Callithrix jacchus: one gene and its partners. The protein of the gene in region 3 purifies or fractionates together with the protein of the main gene of each other region. This does not show direct contact. Links are inferred from orthologs where the notes say so. Each region holds a gene or a part of one and is shown on either strand. Other genes may lie near its edges. The genes, in order: VANGL1, PELI2, DVL2, NEDD4L and CSNK1D.

Region 1 (4,112 bases), on a different chromosome or scaffold from region 3:
AACCCCGTCTCTACTAAAAATACAAAAAAAAATTAGCTGGGCACGGTGGTGTGTGCCTGTAATCCCAGCTACTCAGGAGGCTGAGGCAGGAGAATTGTTTGAACTCAGAAGGCGGAGGTTGCGGTGAGCCAAGATCCCACCATTGCACTCCAGCCTGGGTAACAAGAGCGAAACTCCGTCTCAAAAAAAAAAAAAAAAAAAAAAGAAAAAGCTAGTCCAAGTTGGCAGCTAAATCAGCAAGACAGATTTCGCTCATAACCAAATAATCCCAAATCTAGTAATAACCAAAAAAAACATGATTTATGAAATGTATGGGCAATGGTAAGAAGTGGTGGTGGTGAAGGTCTCAGTCCTATGAACCAATAATCCTTCAACTTGGAAAGTTAGACGGATCACATACACGAAATTCCTATTTAAGATGATGGCCAGAGGCAGCCAGGACTCTCAGACACCGCTGGTGGACGTGGACCATGGTACAGTGCCTCTGGAAAACCACTCTGGCTGTTTCACATAAATTTAAATATACGCTTAACTCTATGGCCCAGCAATTCCACTCTCACGTTTTATCCAAAAATTAATAAAAACATACATCCAGCTGGGCGCAGTGGCTCACGCCTATAATCCTAGCACTTTGGAAGGCCAAGGTAGGCAAATCACCTGAGGTCAGGAGTTTGAGACCAGCCTGGCCAACATAATGAAACCCTGTCTTTACTAAAAATACAAAATGAGCCGGGCATGGTGGTGTATGCTTGTAATCCCAGCTACTCAGGAGGCTGAGGCAAGAGAATTGTTTGAACCCCAGAGGTGGAGACTTCAATGAGCTGAGACTGCGTCCCTGGACTCCAGCCTGGACAAGAAAGCAAGACTGTGTCTCAAGAGAAAAAAAAAAAAAAGAAAGAAAGAAAAAGAAAAGATATATCCAACAACAGACAACAAGAAGAATGTTCATAACAGCCAAAATGGTACAACCCACATGTCCATCGACTAAGAGAATGGATAATATATTGTGGTACACTGATACAATGGAATACCATTCAGCAAAAGTAAAAAAAATAAGCTGTTGAAACAAACCAAAACATGGATAAATCTCAAAATCATTATGCTGAGCGGGGTGGTGGGTGTGAGGGAGACAGACCATATGATTCTAATTATATTAAATTCAAAAACAGGCAAAAATTAATCTACAGTGATAGAAATCAACACAGTGGTTGCCTTGGAGAGGCGAGGGTGAGGCAGAGATTGACTAGGAAGGGCCCAAGAGAATTTCCCGGGGTGCACATGCATGCCTAAAAAATGTACATGTACAAAGGGTCCTGTCAAGCTTGAGGTTCTTAGAAGAAAAAGGACCTAGGATTCTTTCATCAAAACCCCTAGATTTCCATAAAGAAACTGAGGCCTACAAAGGCTGTGACTGCTCAAGGTAACGGAGCTACTGAGAAATACAGCCTCCAAACACCCATCTCAATGCCTTTCTCACCAGATTATCCTGGAGCAGCACCAACAGCTTCCCAAAGTAGTTCTCAGCTATGAGGTGCAGAGGAGATGTGGAGAAAGCAGCGCCCTCATTGTAGGCCACCAGCACCTCTGAATGCACATCCAGGAGGAAACTGACCGCCCCCCCCGCCACGCTCCAGGGTGACCCAGTCCTAGGACTGGCCCCATCCAACCACCAGCCACCCCACAGCCAAAGCAGGCAGCACTAAAGACATTTGCTCACTGCTCAATGAAGCCCATGTTCAACCCACAACTGTCGCTTTGTGTCCCAAGAGCACCTTGTGTGCTCCTAGGAATTCCAAGTCCATCTATCTGATTATAAATGCTTACCTGTGTGTACGCAGAGGTATGTACAGATTTATGCTTATCTACAGTCCTACATCTATCTTTACAGCTGTGTATCATACGCTGCTTTGTTTATGAGGGGCAAGGCTGGACATGTGTATATATATTTCAGGATGTGCAGAGGGTGTGCAAACATGTTTCTGTGTATAGTTCAGATGTTTATTTAAATCAGATGGGCTGCCAGTTGGAACCTCGAGAAGAACCCACTCAATGTTTTAAAAAATGAAGTATATTTCAAAAATAATATAAAATATAAAAAAGAAAATTAGCTTTTCTTTTTCTTTTTTTTTTTTGAGACGGAATTTTGCTGTTGTTACCCAGACTGGAGTGCAATGGCACAATCTCGGCTCACTGCAACCTCCGCTTCCTGGGTTCAAGCAATTCTCCTGCCTCAGCCTCCCGAGTAGCTGGGATTACAGGCAAGCGCCACCATGCCCAGCTAATTTTCGTATTTTTAGTAGAGATGGGGTTTCACCTTGTTGACCAGGATGGTCTGGATCTCTTGACCTCGTGATCCACCCGCCTCCCAAAGGGCTGGGATTACAGGTGTGAGCCACCGCGCCTGGCCCTCCAGCTTAAACACTGAATCCTTGAATTCCTGAGCAGAGTAGGTGTCTGGAGCTGCAAAGCTGCTGTTTCCTTTGCAGAGAAAGTGCATTCTTCAGTTTGCCACAGGCTCCTTCACTGCACACAACAGCAGTGACACTGAGGCACTGCAGAGACTGCTGTTAACCCAAAGCTTGTTTGAGATATTTTTGCCCCCTCTTGTTGACCCAGGGCCTCCTTAATTAACTTATGTTCCTCTACCAGGTATCCGTGTGTGCAGCCTCTGATTTACTGCATAGATCTAGTAGTAATGTTTCAGTCTGGGCTGCCCCACGTTTTTCCCTCTTCTTAACACTACGTAGGTTTTCTGGGTTTCCTTCTCCTTCTTATACTGTTCCATTTTGAAATGAGTTGTGGGAGACTTCAGCTTTTCCCTTCCCTTCCCTGTCGTCAACCTGGCTGGCTTCTTTTCACACCATGCAGAGCAGGCCAACCAATCATACTTCAGAAGAATCCCCAAGCTACCAAAGGGCAGGACAGGCTGTTCTTAGACCAACAAGAGACCAGAGGACGTAGATAAACTAATTAGCATGCTAGGAAAATAAAGACAGAAACCCAAGAGAACCTACTGCAACAAGACTTAGGAAAACATTTACAGAAAGGAGTCTTGGCCACGTGGCAGTGTGCTTACAGACGGCCGTCGATCGTTACCTGAACTTCCTCTGTCCGGGTGGAATCGTTTGCCAACAGGGGCTCTCCAGTGGGAGCTTGAATGGTGACAGACTTTTCTGACCCTCTGCCATCTTTACTCCGGGGTGATTTGTGTCTCTCTCTAGTTCTCTCCCTGAAAAACAACAATGAGCTAGCACATTTATGCCATGTTAATTAACTCTCTGGGTTCACAGAAATGTAAGTATCATTTTGAACTTAGGAAAATTCTACACACATATACATGGGCCCACGTGCACACGCAAATGCACACACAGCATCAAAACACGTACATCCTCACCACTCTTCAAGGGGTACACAGATTTTTACTGCCTCCTTAATATTTTCCTTCTGCCATTCCAAGACCCAAAACAAAGAGTCACTCTTCCTTTATCAACAGCGATATTTTTTTCAAAGACTAAAATTGTAATTTTAGAATTTCTGTAGCTAGTTACACCTTCCTGTAATAATTACTGGTTTGATTTGGTTGAATTGTGTACTTCTCATTCTTACGAGTTCAAAACTAAGTCATTCCCATAGGTTCTAGCTGAACTTGAAGACAACCACAGAAACAAACAAGCTAGGGCAAAAGGCACCAAGAGTTGTGGAGGGTGTGTGTGTGTGTGTGTATGTGTGTGTGTGTGTGTGTGTTCGGGGAGGATTTCAGGCCTCCTGAAGAAAGCAGTCTGCTGCATCATTTTACCCCACAGGAACTTCCAGGGTGGTCTTCCAGGGTGATTGTAAGAATCCTGCCTGGGGGTCATTCATGAAATTCCAAAAGGAACCAATCACTGTGGTTCCTTTTGTGGCCACCTAAGGACTTCTCAAGGGTCAGTGAGTTCCCTCAGCCTCCTGCCCCCACAGCCTCCTTGACATCAGCCCTGCTTCCTACAATCACTCACCCTCATTGCCAAGGTCTCCCGGGCAGGACAGAAGCAGATTTTGGAGACAGAGATCTTGGTTCCGCCCTACCAGATGTGTGATTGTGCACAAGTTATTCAATCTGTGAAAACCTCAGT
Region 2 (4,112 bases), on a different chromosome or scaffold from region 3:
TCTCCATCGGGGAGACCTGAGTCTGAATCCCACTGGCTGCCACTTCTAACTCTGTGACACCGGGCAGTCTTTAACTTCAAGCCACAGCGTCTTTATCCATGAAATGGGGATGACTCTACTTCCCTTAGAGGGCTGCTGTGCAGATTAAGTGAGCTGATGTCGGAAATGTTAATGTAGTACCTGCATCAGCAACCATTTACTGACTTCTTACTCTTGCTGTTATAATGATGAATAGCCAGTTTGGCCAAGCTAGGTCAGTTTTGTATAAAACTATCCAGTGATCAGAAACAAAAGGTTATTTAGAAAAATTCCTGTCACATTTGCTTCTCTGTTTACAATTTCTTGAAAACATTTATACAAAATTCATTGAAATTGCACGATTTTCCTTAGAAAATGCTTCTCATATTTATTTCAGCCATATGCATTGTAAAATGCAGAAGCTGTGCCTATAGCTGAAAAATGGTGTAAAATAGAAATAAAAATAACCATTCCCTTCCAGTAAAGAACAGCAAATCAGGGTAGCAAAACAGCTCCCAGCTTCTATATCTATCTATCTATCTATCTATCTATCTATCTATCTATCTATCTATCTATCTGGTTTTAGTTTTTCTTTATAGCTCCCAACTTCTTTTTCCATCTTAGACATCTTTGGTGATGATCCTTCTCTCTGAAAAGTGCTAGGTCAAATCCTCTACTCCTTATACATTTTGCTCTGTGGGAGTTTTGAAAAACTCCTTCTTTTCTAGCTTCTAGAAAAAGACATTTTTTCTCCTTCATTCTAGCTTCTACCTAACAAATTAAGCAAAAGTACAGGAATGGATAGTTTAGTAAAAATCTTTCAGCGGCTATGCCACATGGCTATAGCAAGATCAGAAACCCAAAGTTCTACATTTAAGGTACTATAATTATTCTCCAAGGAAGAATGGGTTTAAAAAACTGCTTTAGGGCATGGGGATAAGTGGTGATATTTATAGGAAAATATTAACATGCCAGGTCAATGTAGTATATAAATTATTTCAAGTGAAAAGTTCTAACTATGATTTTGGTGGACAATATAGAGAATTCTGCATTAATATATAAGAATTCAAGGGGAAAACCAGCTGACTTAACTATTTCTTAGTTGCAGAAGGTCTAGTAAATAATTCTTTTTTTTTGTTGTTTTGTGTTTTGAGACTGAGTCTCACTCTTGACACCAGACTGTAGTGAAGTGGTGCGATCTTGGCTCACTGCAACCTCTGCCTCTCAGGTTCAAGCGATTCTCCTGCCTCAGCATCCTGAGTAGCTAGGACTATAGGCATGTGCCGCCACATTCAGCTAATTTTTTTATTTTTAGTAGAGATGAGGTTTCACTCACCATGTTGGCCATGATGGTCTCAATCTCTTGACCTGTGATCTGCCAGCCTCAGCCTCCCAAAGTGCTTGGGATTACAGGCGTAAGCAACTGCATCTGGCATAATTCATTTTTTGTTTTTTTGAGATGGAGTCTTGCTCTGTTGCCCAGGCTAAAGTGCAGTGGCACGATCTTGGCTCACCACAACCTTCACCTCCAGGTTCAAGCAATTCTCCTGCCTCAGCCTCCTGAAAAGCTGGGACTACAGGTGTGCACCAACATGCCCAGCTAATTATAAATAATTCTCTAATTCATAATTTTTACTAATTGTTTTTGGACTACTCAAATGTTTTCCAAATCAATAAAGTTTTACACTAAAAATAAGTTTATTTTCCTTAAAGTGAATTTAAGTAGATTTTTGTGGTGAGGTCTATAATAAAAGATAATGCTCTTAAGGTGGTAAGGAGCAAAAGGCAACTTACTCCCACTATGGGAAAAGTTGGGCCATTGAAGAAAATAAGGCCCTTTCCCTCTTGCTTTCAGGTGCCTGTGGAATTCTGCTTCTCCTGGGTTATGGTACACAGTGCTTGGACCCGTACAAAGGTTCTGAACCTCAGGGGAGGGAAAACGACAGCCTCTGTGTTAGGCTTGTGTTGTGTGGAACATTTTCCAGAGTGAAGTGCACTCACCAGCTTTCCTCGTTGCTGGGCCGACCTGGTTTCTCGCAAGGTGTACACATCTCCACAGACGGAGATCTCGCGCCAGACCCCAGGCTGGGACTCCTCGGTGAAGCCCCCTCGTGGATGCATCACCAGGACGCCATTCGTAGTGAGCCCATCCATGTGGCCGTCAGGGTTTTTCCACTTTGCTGCCTTTTCCTGGAGAGTACAAGGCAGAACACAAAAAGCAGGCTAAGATGACATTCAAATGGAAAGGATTCTGGAATTTCTTTAATTCATTGCGTAGAGGCAGAGGGAAGGAAGGTGATGAATTTGCATTTTCTATTTAAAGCTTATAATCACACAAGGATAAAATATGCAATTATTTTGGCAATATAAAAGTGTTGAAACAGATGAATGATTTATCACTGGACACATATGATAGTTCTCAAGAGCTTGCAAAAAACTGATGGCTGGGCTCCTCCCTCTGATTCTTTTTACACTCCCCACAACCCCATGTGATTCCAGGAATCTGGTGTGCTTTCTCTTTTCAGTTATATTTGGGCCATGCTCTTATTCTGCTACCCAAAAGTGCTTTCTATGTACTCATTGTCAGGATAGAGAAGTAAGGATAGTCATAAAGAAACATTTTTTATTAAAGGCAGAAAATTCAAAACATGTGAAGCCAACAAGTCGGGGCCATTATGTTTTCCCAACAATCAGTGTTTATCTTCTCAAAGATGATGGCACATGTAGCTTGACATGATGACAGGACACTCTTGGGTGCCTGTGCCACAGCTCTTCCCCTCAGCTTTCTTGGTGACAGAGCTCAGCTACTGTTCACGAGGCTGAGGGGAGGGAAATCCTGATGAAGCCAACATGACACTCGTAGCCCTCTTCCCAATGGCTGGTTTACAGGTGGGCATAGAACATGTCTGGGCTCTGATTGATGACACATATCTTCTGGGAAGCTTCCGTAAAAGGCATCTGTGCTCTAAGAAGAGACAAGGAAGAAACAGTGCTTCTGCCACCCTATTCTCTGGTTGGAAGTTGTCACGTGGCAGGGGACATGTGGAAGTGCAGGAGTCAGCTGTCACCCAGAAGAAGACTTCTCATGAAGAGGCTGGTGCGCCATGGGAGGCAGAAGGCAAGACAGAGAGAACCTGGGGCCCTGGATGTCACAGAACCACTGAACCACCAACCCTGGAGCTGGCCTTCTTCAGCAATTCTTATGTGGCACAGTACATTTTCATTGTTTTTAGACCATTTTGAGTGGGTTCTTTTTTCCCTACAAAAATATCCTAATTCAAAAGGGAACTAGGGTAAACCTGGATATTCACTAAAACTTCTGGGGTTCATTTACAAGGAAACCCTATGAGGACAGGGATTTAAGTCTGTTTTATTCTCTGTAATCCCACATCTAAAACACCCAGTATAAAACATAGCAAACATTCAATAAAACATTTTTGAATGAATGAATCACTAACATTTTCCTCTGAGCCCTAATGATCTAAATTTGGCCATTTATTTCTCTCTCTGAAATAAACCTATAACTGCCATAAATGCTTTATGGACAATGTTCTACGCATACTTAAAAACTTACTGTAAATATTACAATATAAAAAAATATAATGAACAAGTAATGGTTATTAATGTTCAGATTTTTAATGACAGTTTCTCAAACTGGCCACCTGAAAACTAAAATCTGCAAAACCTCATTAGAGGCAACATATAAAGCCAATTTTTTTTGCTCCAACTAAATGTTCCATATCATAATTATAAGCATTTTTCGGGAAATCACGTACTTCTTGACAGTACTTACTCCAAGGAATATGTTTTTGGAAGAGTCAAATCCAGCGGCAAATATCCGTGCTGTGTAAGGCTCATTCCTGTCACACACGATCCTGCAGGCAAACCTGGATATGGTGCTCTGTGTGATCTGGGCTTCATCCGTGTTCTGGCTGCCAGAAATCGTATCTGTGACAACGAAGTCGATAGGGCTTTCTGTTGATCTGCCCACCTAAATGAATCAAATGTGCTCGTGATTCACTTGGAAAATAGCATGGTGCTGTATTTTACCCACATGGAAAAGGCATTCAGGATCCCTTCAACATTCACTATCT
Region 3 (4,112 bases):
AACATCCACAAAGAACTCACTGGGATTGCCCATGGCCATGTGGAAGCTTTGGCGGCTGGCTGTCAGTTCTGGGGGCACAGAGCCCAGGTCTCTGACTGGAGGGGCCCCTGGAGGCTGCACTGCTGGAGGGACTGGGGGTGGGGGTGGGGGCATCATGACCACCATCATGGGGTTGTAGGGGAGGGCCATGCCAGGGGGTGGTCCATAGGGATGGAGCCCCGGGTGGGCTCGGAGATTAGGGGCACCCCCACTTGAGCCTCTGGAGGAAGGAGGGCCCCCATCGCCAGTCCCACTTGGTTCCCCACCCCACCGAAGGCTGCCCCCTCGGCTGGAGGGCTCAGACTCGCTGCCACTGCCGGATTTGGACTCGGGGGCCCGCTCCTCAGGCCTCCCTGTGCGCCCTGCCCCCCCATCACTTCGTGTCGACCCACTGCTCCGGCTGCCTGTGGAGGGAGGGGAGGGGAGGGGCAACTGAGTCCTCACCCAGGCTCCTCCCTGGCTCCCCTCTGATCCACCCTCAGACCTGGCTTATTAGGTATCTGGGGGTGACTTACCCTCACTGTGCTGGCTGCTGGCACTGCCCCCACCATAGGTATAAGATGAAAGCTCATGGTAGGGTGGGGGCTGCGGGCTGTAGGGATGTGGGGCTGGGTACTGGTAGGAGAAAGTGGGCAGCAAGGGCCAGGGGGCAGCCCCAGGCAGAGGGGCCAGGGTGTCCTGGTCTGAAGCCCCACTGGAGCCATCGTTGTCATTGAGAGACAGGTTAACTAGGTCTGGAAAGCAAGGGAAGAGAGTAAATCACTGCTTCAAAGAGACTAGGGCCCTAAGACACTGAATGAGAGGAACTGGAACAGTTCTCCCAGACCCACCCACGATGGGGCTCAAAACGGGTTCACAAGGGCCTCTGACAGGAAACTCCCATCTACTTCTGCCATGAGGGCAGGACACAGCCAGGGCCACCACTAGCCCATGCCTCTGCGGGACTCAGAAAGAGGTGCACCTTCCCCCGGTGGACAGTCCTGCACCTGGCGTGGTTTGTCCAGCAGCGCATGGGTGGACGTCAGCCCCCATCCTTGGCCAGTGCAGGACCTAGTTCGGGACACATGCTGCTCAACCATCCATGGTGGCCCTGGCTGCGGTTTCTGGGCTAGGTCTAGGGTTGGAGAGGCAGAACAAGGCAGGCAGAGCCACACTCCCAGAGTCAGGGCAGGGGGACTCACAGCTCTCACAGCCACCACTGAGGTCTCCGAAGATGTAATAGCACTGCTCAGAGAAGGTGATCTTGTTGACAGTGTGTCGAATCAGGCCAGCTTTGAGCAGTCCACTGGCATATTTTCGGGCCTCCCGCCGCTCTGGAAAGCCCTCCACATGATGGTAGAGCCAGTCAACCACATCTGAGCCTGGGGGCACCCACAGTGGAAAAAGGGCTCAGGTTCTCCTTCCAACTCCTGCTCTCACCTCTGCCTGTGCTGTTCCCAGCTTCGGTCACCTCCTCCTCCCCTTCTCCAGCCACCTGCCCAGGACCCAGCCATACCCAGGAAGGCATTAGGGATGGTGATCTTGAGCCACATGCGGTCCCGGACTTCCAGCCCAGACTCTGGAGCTGCCATGGCCTTAGTGACCGATGCCATGTCTGTGTGGATGGAGAGACCCCGGCCCTCACAGCCTGGTGGAGGAGACAATGGGGCATCAAGAGGCAGGGTCACTCCCACAAGGGCCATGGGTCACACCACTTCGGGGCAGCCCTCTGGCAGGAGGGTGAAATGAGGTAGGCTGGCAGCTCACCATCAGGCAAAGAGGATCCTGATGTAATGGTGCTCATGGAGGAGGAGCCTGGGTAGGCTGGGAAGGTGCCAGTCAGAGCCGCGGAGTGGGACACCCAGGCAGCAGGGTCAATTGGCTGGATGGGCTCATCTGGGACAAAGATGGTACCAAAATGACCCCTTCTCAGTCCCCAAAAGCCAGCCCAGTCCCTCCCTGACTCAGCCTCCCGTTCTACCTCTGCCTGGACCTTCCTCCACACATTCCCCATAATCAGAGGCCAGCCCCAGCCACCCCCACCACCAACTTCAGGCCCCTCCCTGAGTGTCACTCACTTCGGGGGAGGGTGAAGTAGGCCTGAGGAGAGGGATCCCAGCACTTGGCCACAGTCAGCACGATGGGGCTATGGGGAAGAGAAGACCAGTCAAGGGCTCAGGGGAAGAAGAGGCCTGGGGTGGGGGGGCGCTGAAGCAAGGATGAATTAAGAGACACAAAGATGGGGAGAAGCCAGCATGTCTCAGCTGGGCTAGGGAAGGTGAGGGTGGAAGGCACCACAATGTGAATGACTCATCAACATGGAAACTCTTAAAAACATACTGCCAAGTGAGACGAGAGTACACGCTGTACAATTCCATTCAAAGAAAGTCCAAAGACAGGTAAAACCGCGCTGTTCAAGGATACATGCAAGGGTGGTAACTATGGAGGGAGGTAAAGCTTTTCTTTGTTGTGGTGATGACCCGGGAAGTCAGCAGAGTGACTAGCCCTGGGGGGTGAGGCATTGGGGAGCAGGAAGGGGGGTCTGTGGAGGGGGATCTAGGGTGTCAGCAATCTCTATTTGATGGTCTAGGTGGTGGCGACATGAGTATTCGCTCTAGTATTATTTGCTACATCACGAATTTGTTTCATGTACTTTGAGTGTTATGTCTTACTCCCCCTTTTTTTTCTTCAGAGTCTTGCTCTGTTGCCCATGCTAAAGTACAGTGGCATGGCAGTTCACGGCAACCTCTGCCCCTGCCCCAGAGTTCAAGCAATTCTCCTTTCTCACTCCCCACTAGCTGGGACTACAGGGGAGCACCACTATACCCAGCTAATATTTTTTTTTTTAAATGGAGTTTTCACTTCTGTTGCCCAGGCTGGAGTACAATGATACAATCTTGGCTCACCGCAACCTCCACCTCCCAGGTTCAAGCGATTCTCCTGCTTCAGCCTCCCGAGTAGCTGGGATTACAGGCATATGCAACCACACCCAACTAATTTTATATTTTTTAGAAGAGAGAGGGTTTCTCTATGTTGGTCAGGTTGGTCTCGAACTCCTGACCTCAGGTGATCCGCCCGCTTTGTCCTTCCAAAGTACTGGGATTACAGGTGCGAGCCACTGCACCTGGCCATTTTTCTGTTTTTAGTGGAGTTGGGGTTTCACCATGTTGGCCAGGCTGGTCTTAAACTCCCGACCTCAGGTGATCCACCCACCTCAGCCTCCCAAAGTACTGAGATTACAGGGGTGAGCTATTGGGCCTGATTGTCTTACCACTTATTAAAATTGCAAAACAAAAAGTTAAAGGGGGAAAAAAAAAAGACTGACGACCTGCAGCCTGCTCAGCAACTCACCCAGGCTTGTGCACAATGTCCCTCAGCACCCGCACGGCGTCATCATTGCTCATGTTCTCAAAGTTCATGTCATTCACCTGGAAGCGAGGGGAAGGGGGTCAGAAGCCGGCTGGGAGAGTATGAGGGCCCCCACACAGGGCAGCTCAATGGCCCTGCCCCAACACACCTGCAAAAGCATGTCCCCTGGCTCAATGCGCCCATCGGCTGCCACGGCCCCACCCTTCATGATGGAACCAATGTAGATGCCTCCATCTCCCCGCTCATTGCTTTGGCCCACAATGGAGATGCCCAGGAAGTTGTACTTCTCTGTGGAGAGAGACCGTGTGAGGGGAGGAGGCCCCAGTCGCAAGCCCCAGAGAGACCAGGCCCTCCCCACGCCCTCGCCACAGGCTTTCCCCATACCCATGTTCAGCGTGACTGTGATGATATTCAGAGACATTGTGGAATCCGTGACACTGCTGAAGGATGAGGTCTGTGGTGGGAAAAGGAGGAGCTAGAGTGCTCTTCAATAACCCAGTCTACACCCTAGGGCTCTGCTGGTGTCCTGGCACCATCCAAACCAAGGCCCATGCCCCACCTTCTCCCCGCACCGGTATTCCCGTGGGAACCCCCTCACCCTCTCCAGGCGAGGTGGCCGCTGTTTCCTCCGCCGCCGGTGGCGCTTCAGGAGGCGGGAGGCACTGCTCTGCTCCGTGGAGCTGCTGAACCTGTCAGGCGGGAGGAGAGCAAACATAAGCCAAAGT
Region 4 (4,112 bases), on a different chromosome or scaffold from region 3:
TTGCGTTGTTGTTTGGGTTCGCGCTCCTAATCACACACACAGGGAGAGACTCCTATGAAGCTAACTTGTTTTTGCCTCCAAAATAGCTTGCAGAAGATGGTGCGTCCGGATCAGCCACAAACAGTAGCAACCATCTAATCGAGCCTCAGATCCGCCGGCCTCGTAGCCTCAGCTCGCCAACAGTAACTTTATCTGCCCCGCTGGAGGTGAGACGGCTACCTCATCTAAATGGACTCACTCTGTCCTGTGACTCCCCATTCTTTCTTCTCTCTTAACTCTGCCTTCAGTTTCGCAGCCACCTCCTCTCTCTGATCAGTCGTTGTGTTGGTGGTGAAGGGTGTTCTCGTGCGACCTTTCTACCTGCTTCTCTGTCTCGCCCAGTTAACATTCCTGGACTCTCTCACCTGATTCTCATTCTCATTTGGCTGAAGCCATGGTGACTTGTGCTGGATGTGGGCATCTCTCTTTTCAGGATTTCCACCGTTCTTGTTGTGTTTTGCTCCTTTTTTGCCTGTTACCGCATTAGAATTGCATACTCCCTCTTTCAAATACCAAGTGCTGTTATTGAGTTGTTCAACATAGCTGTTGCTTTGATCATTTTTTTTTTCCTTCAACTGTAGGGCCTTTCATTATATGGGCATATGTGTTTCTGATGCACACTGGCATCTCTGCATCGTGGCTGGGCATCCGCTTGTGCTCTCTGCTGTGTTTGTGTTGTTTTAGTGCCATCCTTTAACATCACAAATGTCAGAGTTAGAGAAGCCAAAGAGCAAATGTCTGAGGTCCTAAGCTTTCCTGTGTTTTAGAGACAGCTGTGGGCTTCTCCATGCCCTGGGTCAAGATGCTGCTAAGTGGGAATAGATGCTGTCTTTTCCACACTCTGATATAAATGTCATGGGTAACGACTGTGAGATTCCAGATCTTTTTTATTGATGTAGTTTTTTCTTTTTTCTTTGTTTTTCCCCCTCTAAAACTTGCCAATCTATTCTTCATTAGAGTGTGAGCTCATTAAGAGCAAGGGCACGTTTCTCTCCACTCTGTAAAATCTCTATCCATAATGCTCAGTACAGAATAGTATTTTTTGGCATACTGAGTGGCTACCAAAGGACGGTGGTTATATGTACTTAATATTGTCGTGTGTTTATCCAACAGAGAAAATGTAAAGTTAGATTGATTTAAAAGTAAATGAATGACGGAAAACAGGTTTTGGGGGGGTCTTCCCTCTTGTCCATCTCCAAAGAGGAGCCTTCTACAGTGCCCTGGTACATTTTGACACATTGGAATCACACGTGCTAAAGAGTTCTAATGCTCATTGTTATTCTTTAGGGTGCCAAGGACTCACCCGTACGTCGGGCTGTGAAAGACACCCTTTCCAACCCACAGTCCCCACAGCCATCACCTTACAACTCCCCCAAACCACAACACAAAGTCACACAGAGCTTCTTGCCACCCGGCTGGGAAATGAGGATAGCGCCAAACGGCCGGCCCTTCTTCATTGATCATAACACAAAGACTACAACCTGGGTAAGGCTGCTGCTTTTATTTGGCCCCGTTTGCATCGTGAAGTCTGGCATTACTTTCTTTATTTCATTACTCCGTGTTTGTAGTTCTTGCAGAGGAATTGGATTGACTGTAAAGGGTGTCTCTAGTGGGTCTCCTCAGCCTGCACCTGGCCCCTGCATGGATGGGCGGGTGGGAGTTGGGGGGGGCACAGGCTGGTACCTCTCTTTGCTCTTGGTGCTGGGACCACCTTTTCTCCTGGGAAGCTCTGGTTTAGACAGTTGGCCATACTGGGTGGAAAGGTACTGCTCTGTGCTGTTAAGATTTTGCTATTATTCCATCCCATCTCAACGAAGTAGTCTCATTAGGAGTTATAATCATTTTCAAATAATTTTTTCTTTTGTCAGTTTTTTTTTTGCACTTTTATTGGCATCATCCACCTTCTTTTGATTTGTCACTTCAGTTTTTACTATTCACATCAGCTCAGTATTCACACATCTGTGCTGCCTTTTCATGCCTTTAATCACGGGGTAGGGGATGTACTGAGTGGCTTTGGTTATAAATCTGATAGCTCTTTTTTGTGATCATTTTGTCAGAATTGATTTTTCTTAGCATGCAACTCTTTCATGTGCTTCTGAATTGTATGAAAGAAAGAATCTGTACATTGTATTATCTTGAGCAAAATGGCATTAATCAAAGGTGAAAATACAAGCATATCTTTATATTTCTCCATCAGTTCTTTATTTCTTTAGCTCAATCAGCAGGTGGCTTTTTCAGTGTAGCATATAATTCTTTTAAAAGTCAGTTGGTATTTTCTACTATATAATCTCTGTACCTGTAGTGAAACTGAAATTTCTGGCTATTTTTGATGCTGCAGATGGTTGTTCCTCCTGCCTGTTATATTCCCATCTAATTGTCTGGCTCAAGTTAACTCAGAGTTTAGCTTAGTCCTACTATTGTCTGTGCTGCTTGCTCAGAACCACTGTTACGGGATTGCTGGTTGAGTGTTCGTGATTGTCACTGTCCCTAGCTCTTTGGTCTTGTGTCAGCAATGGACATACACCCTAAATCCCCATTTCCAGTGATGGACATTAAGTGTGTCCGTTTGCTAGATCGGGAGCAAGCCCTGACCAACGGGATTTGGGCTGTCATTTTGTGCCTCGCCCATTGTGTGGAATCAGTTCAGTCCAGCAGGTCTAGAGGGTGTGCTCCTAGAATCCTTTGGATCATGGGACATTGTGTCTTCAAGGGTGTTCTTGGCATTTGGGGCAGGGACATTTGTGCCTTCAGTTTCAGGCCACTTAACCTTGGCTTCTGCCACCAGGCACTAATGGTCACCATTACCCCCACCCCAACATAGCGACGACCAAAAATGCCCTACACATTTCAAAACAGCCCTAAGTGAGAACCACTCTGTGAGCTCTTTCTATTTTGAAGTAATGGAGTGGCCTGCCAAGAGAACTTCTCATTTAGGGCTGGTAACATTCATTTGGTAAACTGATAACTGCTTCTAAGGCATATAATAACATGTAGGTTCGTTTGACTTACCTACTGGTCTGAAGATAATGTTACAGATTTGCAGGCAAGACAAGAGGAAGAGACGGGCAGCTCTTTGGAAAATATAGTCATGGAGATTGGTTTTTAATCTTTTCTCTTATTACCATGAAACCCCTGGCTGTCCTGCCAGTGTTCTCATTTACTATAGCACTGCTGTAATTTCAAGTCCTCAGCCAGAAACGGGCTCCAGAAATAAGGGCTAAAGAATATAAAAGTAGATGGATTAGTGTAAGGAGCCACTGTGGCTTGCCAACATAAGCTATGATTTTAGTAATTTCAACTAGCTTAGTAATCGAATCCCTTAACCTTTCACAGCCTTTCAACAGCAGTGTAATTGCTGTTGGGCAGATTGTATTTTAAATTAAACAGCACTCACTCTATTTATTGCCTGCATCGTTGCTGAATGAAACCCATTTTTAATTTCCAGTTGTCTCTTTTTACCCAGATACTTGTTATTGACTAATTTACTGATTTAAAATTATAATCTGTTAGAACAACATTTTATTGCTGCTGCCAGTATGGAAAGTCCTCAAGATAACAACTGGAAATTCCACAAGTTACTCCCCTTCTTGAGCGAACTCAGATGTGCTGACACAGCTGCGTTATCACTTTTAAACAAAGGCCTAGGCAGGATTCTCCCTGCAGAAGACACACCCTAAATTGACTGCTCATTTTGACAAAAGATGGAGGGATGGAGGGAAGCCTGAAGATAATTTGCAGCTTAAAAATCTGTTTTGAGTTGGTTTGGGGGTTTGCTTTGTTTTTTTATTTTTGAAAGAGGAAGTGAACAAATGAGAGAACAGCATAGCTGTTCTTAGATTTGAATATTAGAATAGAAAAGGAAAAAAACTGATAGGACAGGTTGAGAATGATGAAAAAATAATACTCCTTCCTCCATCAGCCTGGGCACTGTTGATTCTTACACTAACCAGAAGCCTGAAAAGGACATTTCCCCTCTGTACATTGGGAAATTTAAAAATTTTATTGAAATATGTCATAAAACATGACCTTACCCACACAGATATTGAAGGCAATCTACCATCAGTCTATTTAGT
Region 5 (4,716 bases), about 64 Mb from region 3:
TTGGAATCCAACAACCTGGCAGGGCCCTGCACTGCAGTTCAGCCCCCCAAATGCCACAGCAGGATGGGGACAGGCAGGCCAACACCATGCTTCTAGCCTACAAGCACTGCAATGAAACATAGCCTTCCTCTCCTCCAGGTCTCAAACACCTGAAAGCAAAGGAAGTGCCAGATGGAAAACAAAAACCCAAAAGCCAGGCTCAGAGCAAGGTGAAGCCCACCTGAAGGAATACCAAAGTGACAGCAGCAGGAATGGTTTTAACTATGCTCATATGAGAATACACACAACACACACAGGTCCAGTCCCTCGATTCGTGTCTAACAGGTTGCCCAAACCAACTATGGTGGAGATGATTTCACGGTCTTCAGATCAGCCATCTTGACTCTAACTGCTGCTCTGCGCAGACCCACACTTCCTCCAGCCTGCCTTACTCCGGGTTACATGACCACTTCACTTTTCATTTCCTCAGGGGGGTCGTCTGAAAGGACTGAAATGTAGGCCAGGAGCCAATGCTGATGGAAAAAAAACAAATCAGCTGTGCCCAACCCCACTCAAGTAACTGGACATGTACCCTGATGGATGGTTGTCTGAAGGCTCCAACCCCAGGGCGCCAGAGCCACAGTCACCGGAAATCCCTACCCTAATGGTTTCCAGCGTGACTGCATGCCCAGCATGAGGTGAGGCCTGAGGGTGCAACCATGAGTGAGCAGACAGCCTGCCACCTTCCACCTTTGTGAACGACTTGGTAACAACCACACCAGAATTTGTCTGAATCTATCTTTGGAAAGCACAAAGTTGTTCTGACAAGGTCTCAGAGGAGTGCAGTGGTGTGACCTTGACTCACTGCAATCTGTACCTCTCAGGATGCCTTAGCCTCCTGAGTAGCTGGGATCACAGGTGACGGCCACCATACCCGGCTAATTTTTGTATTTTTAGTAGAGAAGGAGTTTTGCCATGTTAGCCAGGCTGGTATTAAACTACTGACCCCAAGTGATCCGCCAACCTTGGCCTCCCAAAGTGCTGGGATTACAGGTATGAGCCACTGCGCCCAGCCTAAAATACTTCTTTTTGATGCCTGCCTAAGAGTGGTTAATGGACTGGCTTTGCAGTGTAACTCAGACTGTGGAGTTAAAACTTTTGCCAAAATCTATCAATCTATAAATAAGCCAAATGCCTTCCATTTACCAAGCACTCTGACTTCCAAAACACTGCCAAGAACATATCCAGCTGACCACCTGGGTATAAATGTTTAGTCAACCCAAACATCTAAAGCGTGTTTTACTCACAGGCTGCTAAGGCATATATACAGGTTCAAAAGCAACAATATGGCATGTGACAGGGTTAACTGGTAGGTTAACCAGGCACCCAAAGTATGACCCACCCAAATGTATGGGTTCAGCCTAATGCTGTCAGCCCACTGGGTCCTGAGTCATCTCTCAGGTGAAAAGTGAGAAGGGTATGAGATGTAGGGACTGTTCACATGCGGATTAATCTAAAAAGTGCGACCAGAGGCATTACTGACATCCCATAGGATTCCGGACCCTGGCTGTGCCCCAGCCAAACACACCCCAGAGATGGGGCTGCTGGAACAGAGAATAGGTCCCCTCAAAGGTCTGCATCAGGCCTTCTGCAGGCACACTGCCCACGAGGCTACACATCCTCAAGTTCAGGGGGTCTTGGAATAACTCCTGTATTGCACAATCCCACTGACAAGTACGGAAAATTAAGTTACTTTAAAATTATGTACAAACTTGGGCTGGGCGTGGTGGCTCATGCCTGTAATCCCAGCACTTTGGGAGGCCAAGGGGTGGGAGGCGGGGAATCACCTGAGGTCGGGAGTTTGAGACCAGCCTAACTAACATACAGAAACCCTGTCTCTACTAAAAATAGAAAATTAGCCAGGCGTGGTGGCACGCGCCTGTAGTCCCAGCTACTCGGGAGGCTGAGGCAGGAGAATCGCTTGAACCCTGGAGGTGGAGGTTGCAGTGAACTGAGATCATGCCATTATACCTGGGCAACAAGAGCAAAATTCCATCTCAAAATAAATTTTTTTTACAAACTTGAAGATGTCAGCCAATCTTTCAATACACTTGTGCCCACATGCATATTCTTCTGTTGTAAATATGACAACCCAGAATGTTCTAATCCCATTTTTTTTTTTTTTTTGAAATCTACCTTGAGAATGTTAAAGGACAGCTCATGAGTACTACTACTTCATGGGCCTCTCATTTTGCCAGCATCTTAACCCTGTGGGACTTTCATTTGCACTCAGTCACCGCTCCAAGGCCTAGGGTCGCAGTGCAGAGAGAACCCCCAGCGGTCAGTCATGACGGCGGCCGCGAGGTGGAGGGCAAGCCCCGCTCCTAGCCAGGCCACTCCCCCAGCTCCACACGGCATTCGGGTCTTTCTGACATTATCCCCCACGCGTGCAAGACGCATGGGCAGCCTCTGACTGGGGAGCCAAACATCCTCGGACAGGGCTGCGAAAGAAAGAGCATGGCCTTTGTTTATCTCGGAGACCTCAGGCGCGGAGCAAGCCGACACTCGCCCGCGGCCCCGGCCCTGCCCCGCCCCCTCCCCCTCCCCTCCCACGGGCCGCGGCCCCCATCACGCCCTGCCCCTCCCCTGGGCCCGCCTCCCCACGCCCCACCCAGCCCTTCGCGGGTCCGCTCCCCGACGACCCTGCCCCTTCCCGACTCCGCACCCCCGAGACCGTGCCCCGCCCCGGGTCGGCTCCCCTGTCCCCTCTTTCCCACCCCTCCCCTCTCCAGACCCCGCTCCCCCACCCCCCGACCCTGCCCCTCCCCCAGGTCCACGCCCCACTGTCCTCCCCAACCCCGGCCGCGCTTGTCTAGTGGCCGTTGGGTTCTAGCGACGACCCGGCGGCGGCAGGGCTTGCGCGCGGACCCCGCGGGGGCCGCCACTTCCTTCCGCGGTCGCACTTGGTCTCGGTAGCCGCGGGGCCCGGGTCCTCAAACGGCGGGTGGGGACGGCGGGGCCTCACCAAGATAGATGTCTCCGAAGGAGCCGCTGCCAATCTTCCGACCCAGCCGGTACCTGTTCCCGACTCTCAGCTCCATGGCGGCGGCGGCCCGGTTCGATCCTGCCCTCCCGGCCGCTTCCTGGGTCTGAGCTCCGGGAGGCGGCGCCACTGCTGCCGCTACTGCGGCTCCGGCTGCCGGCTCCGCCCCCCTCACGGCCCCGCTTTCACCATCGCTTTCCCGTTGCCCCGTCGCTCCCAGCGCCTCAATACGGGGCGGATGGGACAGTCCAAGCGCCGCCGCCGCTGCTCCGGCCCCTGCCGGCGCCGCTTGCCCTCTCCCCGCCGCGGATGGACTCGGATCTTCGGGGCCTAAATCCCCTTTCAGCAGCCTGAAGGAGCCGCCGCCATCGCGCTGTGACGTCACTTCCCTTGGCAACCCCCTGGCGGGTGGGGCCGCAGTGCTCGAGGGGCGGGGGCGGGTGGGGCGAGCGCTCCCAGCCTCCTCGGACCCTGCACCGTCTCGCAGGGCCCCAGTCCCTCTGCCCGCCCATTATCCCAGGACCTCAGGCCGCCAGCCCCTTCCACGTGCAGGCTCCTACCGCTCTCACTGGGGCTTTTCGTGTGTCCCCCGAGATTTCGGGAGAGCCAGGTGAGTTCCTGGAGACAGGCGGTGCCCTTTGCAGGAGGGAACAGGTAGCTGAGGCCCGGCCCGGAGGACACAAGTGAGACCTTCTCACTTGGCTGCCAGTTCCCGGGCGTGGGGCATCTCAGGACGTCAGCGGCTTTGCCTCCTGACACCTGAGGCCAGAGACAGAGAGGCCCGCACCCTGGGAGGTCCTGATGTCCAGCCTGAAGGATGAGGACGAGGCTACCACCTTTCACAAAATGAGGACAGACCACCTGCCTCCCACCAGTCCCTGCGGCCTGGAGACCGAGTCAACATTCTTATCTGTGTTGGATCTGAATATTCCTCCTTGCAAAAGAAAACAAGGATGTGCACGTTCAGGCTGACGGTCAGCTTCAAAGATTGGGGCCTTTGATTCCCATCACTGGGAAGAAAGCCCTCCAGAGAAGCCCCCCCAGGCTGCGGCGCATGGGGACCATGAAGAACCAGTCCCCGTGGTCCCATGTCCACCTGTCTCAACCTGTCCCATCCTTGCTGAAACTCAAGAAGGTGAAACAGGTGAATTCAGGGCTCTGGTGTGGGCACCGTGGCCTAAGTGAGACAGAAGCCTCAGCTGGCATCTGGGTCACTGCAGAAGAGGAAAGCAGCCCCCGAAGGGCCCTGCAGTGGCACCCACCAGTCTCCATCCCCGTCTTTCCTCTCCACCCCTCAGCTCCCATGGAGGTAGATATCCCGGGGAGGCAGATATCCATTCCTGAAGTTACACAGTAGGGCCTGAAGACAGGAGATGCAGTCAGCCAGACACCATCAGTCACTAACGAGGGACAGGCAGTCGGAGCTGCCCAGTTTCTGAGTTACAGAAGCGGGTGGTGGGGGGGAGGGTGCACCAGACTGGTAAAAATCACCTTGTTGACAGAATCACTCACGGTTTTTCTGTTGATGAACAGAGCCCAACTCACCTGCAGGTGACAGTGATCCTTGTGATCCTTCCTCCTGGGGAGTCCTGCCCTCGCTGACCAGGGGCACCTGTTCACCTGTCAGCTGCTCCTCCCCTCGGCTGGTCCTCTGGGTTCTGATGGCCCAACATTTCTAGCTCTTCTCATCCATG

What was found.
Region 1: the proteins of DVL2 (region 3) and VANGL1 purify together in Homo sapiens (affinity purification with mass spectrometry; 4 studies listed by BioGRID and IntAct, with this or other methods). This does not show direct contact. The link is inferred for Callithrix jacchus from reciprocal best matches to the Homo sapiens genes DVL2 and VANGL1.
Region 2: the proteins of DVL2 (region 3) and PELI2 purify together in Homo sapiens (affinity purification with western blotting; 3 studies listed by BioGRID, with this or other methods). This does not show direct contact. The link is inferred for Callithrix jacchus from reciprocal best matches to the Homo sapiens genes DVL2 and PELI2.
Region 4: the proteins of DVL2 (region 3) and NEDD4L purify together in Homo sapiens (affinity purification with mass spectrometry; 4 studies listed by BioGRID and IntAct, with this or other methods). This does not show direct contact. The link is inferred for Callithrix jacchus from reciprocal best matches to the Homo sapiens genes DVL2 and NEDD4L.
Region 5: the proteins of DVL2 (region 3) and CSNK1D purify together in Homo sapiens (affinity purification with mass spectrometry; 3 studies listed by BioGRID and IntAct, with this or other methods). This does not show direct contact. The link is inferred for Callithrix jacchus from reciprocal best matches to the Homo sapiens genes DVL2 and CSNK1D.

Annotation. Positions count from the first base shown.
Region 1 is NC_133508.1:153,653,678-153,657,789, reverse strand, and holds part of VANGL1 (vang-like protein 1), read right to left. Parts: intron 3,230-4,112; coding exon 3,097-3,229; intron 1-3,096.
Region 2 is NC_133509.1:90,945,616-90,949,727, reverse strand, and holds part of PELI2 (E3 ubiquitin-protein ligase pellino homolog 2), read right to left. Parts: intron 4,010-4,112; coding exon 3,812-4,009; intron 2,209-3,811; coding exon 2,020-2,208; intron 1-2,019. UniProt on the Homo sapiens protein: E3 ubiquitin ligase catalyzing the covalent attachment of ubiquitin moieties onto substrate proteins. Involved in the TLR and IL-1 signaling pathways via interaction with the complex containing IRAK kinases and TRAF6.
Region 3 is NC_133506.1:73,717,309-73,721,420, forward strand, and holds part of DVL2 (segment polarity protein dishevelled homolog DVL-2), read right to left. Parts: intron 4,077-4,112; coding exon 3,986-4,076; intron 3,842-3,985; coding exon 3,772-3,841; intron 3,676-3,771; coding exon 3,536-3,675; intron 3,447-3,535; coding exon 3,370-3,446; intron 2,165-3,369; coding exon 2,097-2,164; intron 1,915-2,096; coding exon 1,786-1,914; intron 1,667-1,785; coding exon 1,535-1,666; intron 1,401-1,534; coding exon 1,221-1,400; intron 774-1,220; coding exon 555-773; intron 444-554; coding exon 1-443.
Region 4 is NC_133514.1:101,387,105-101,391,216, forward strand, and holds part of NEDD4L (E3 ubiquitin-protein ligase NEDD4-like), read left to right. Parts: intron 1-86; coding exon 87-206; intron 207-1,326; coding exon 1,327-1,524; intron 1,525-4,112. UniProt on the Homo sapiens protein: E3 ubiquitin-protein ligase that mediates the polyubiquitination of lysine and cysteine residues on target proteins and is thereby implicated in the regulation of various signaling pathways including autophagy, innate immunity or DNA repair.
Region 5 is NC_133506.1:137,905,307-137,910,022, forward strand, and holds the start of CSNK1D (casein kinase I), read right to left. Parts: upstream 3,131-4,716; 5' UTR 3,081-3,130; coding exon 3,005-3,080; intron 2,313-3,004; exon of another isoform or gene 2,176-2,312; intron 1-2,175. UniProt on the Homo sapiens protein: Essential serine/threonine-protein kinase that regulates diverse cellular growth and survival processes including Wnt signaling, DNA repair and circadian rhythms. It can phosphorylate a large number of proteins.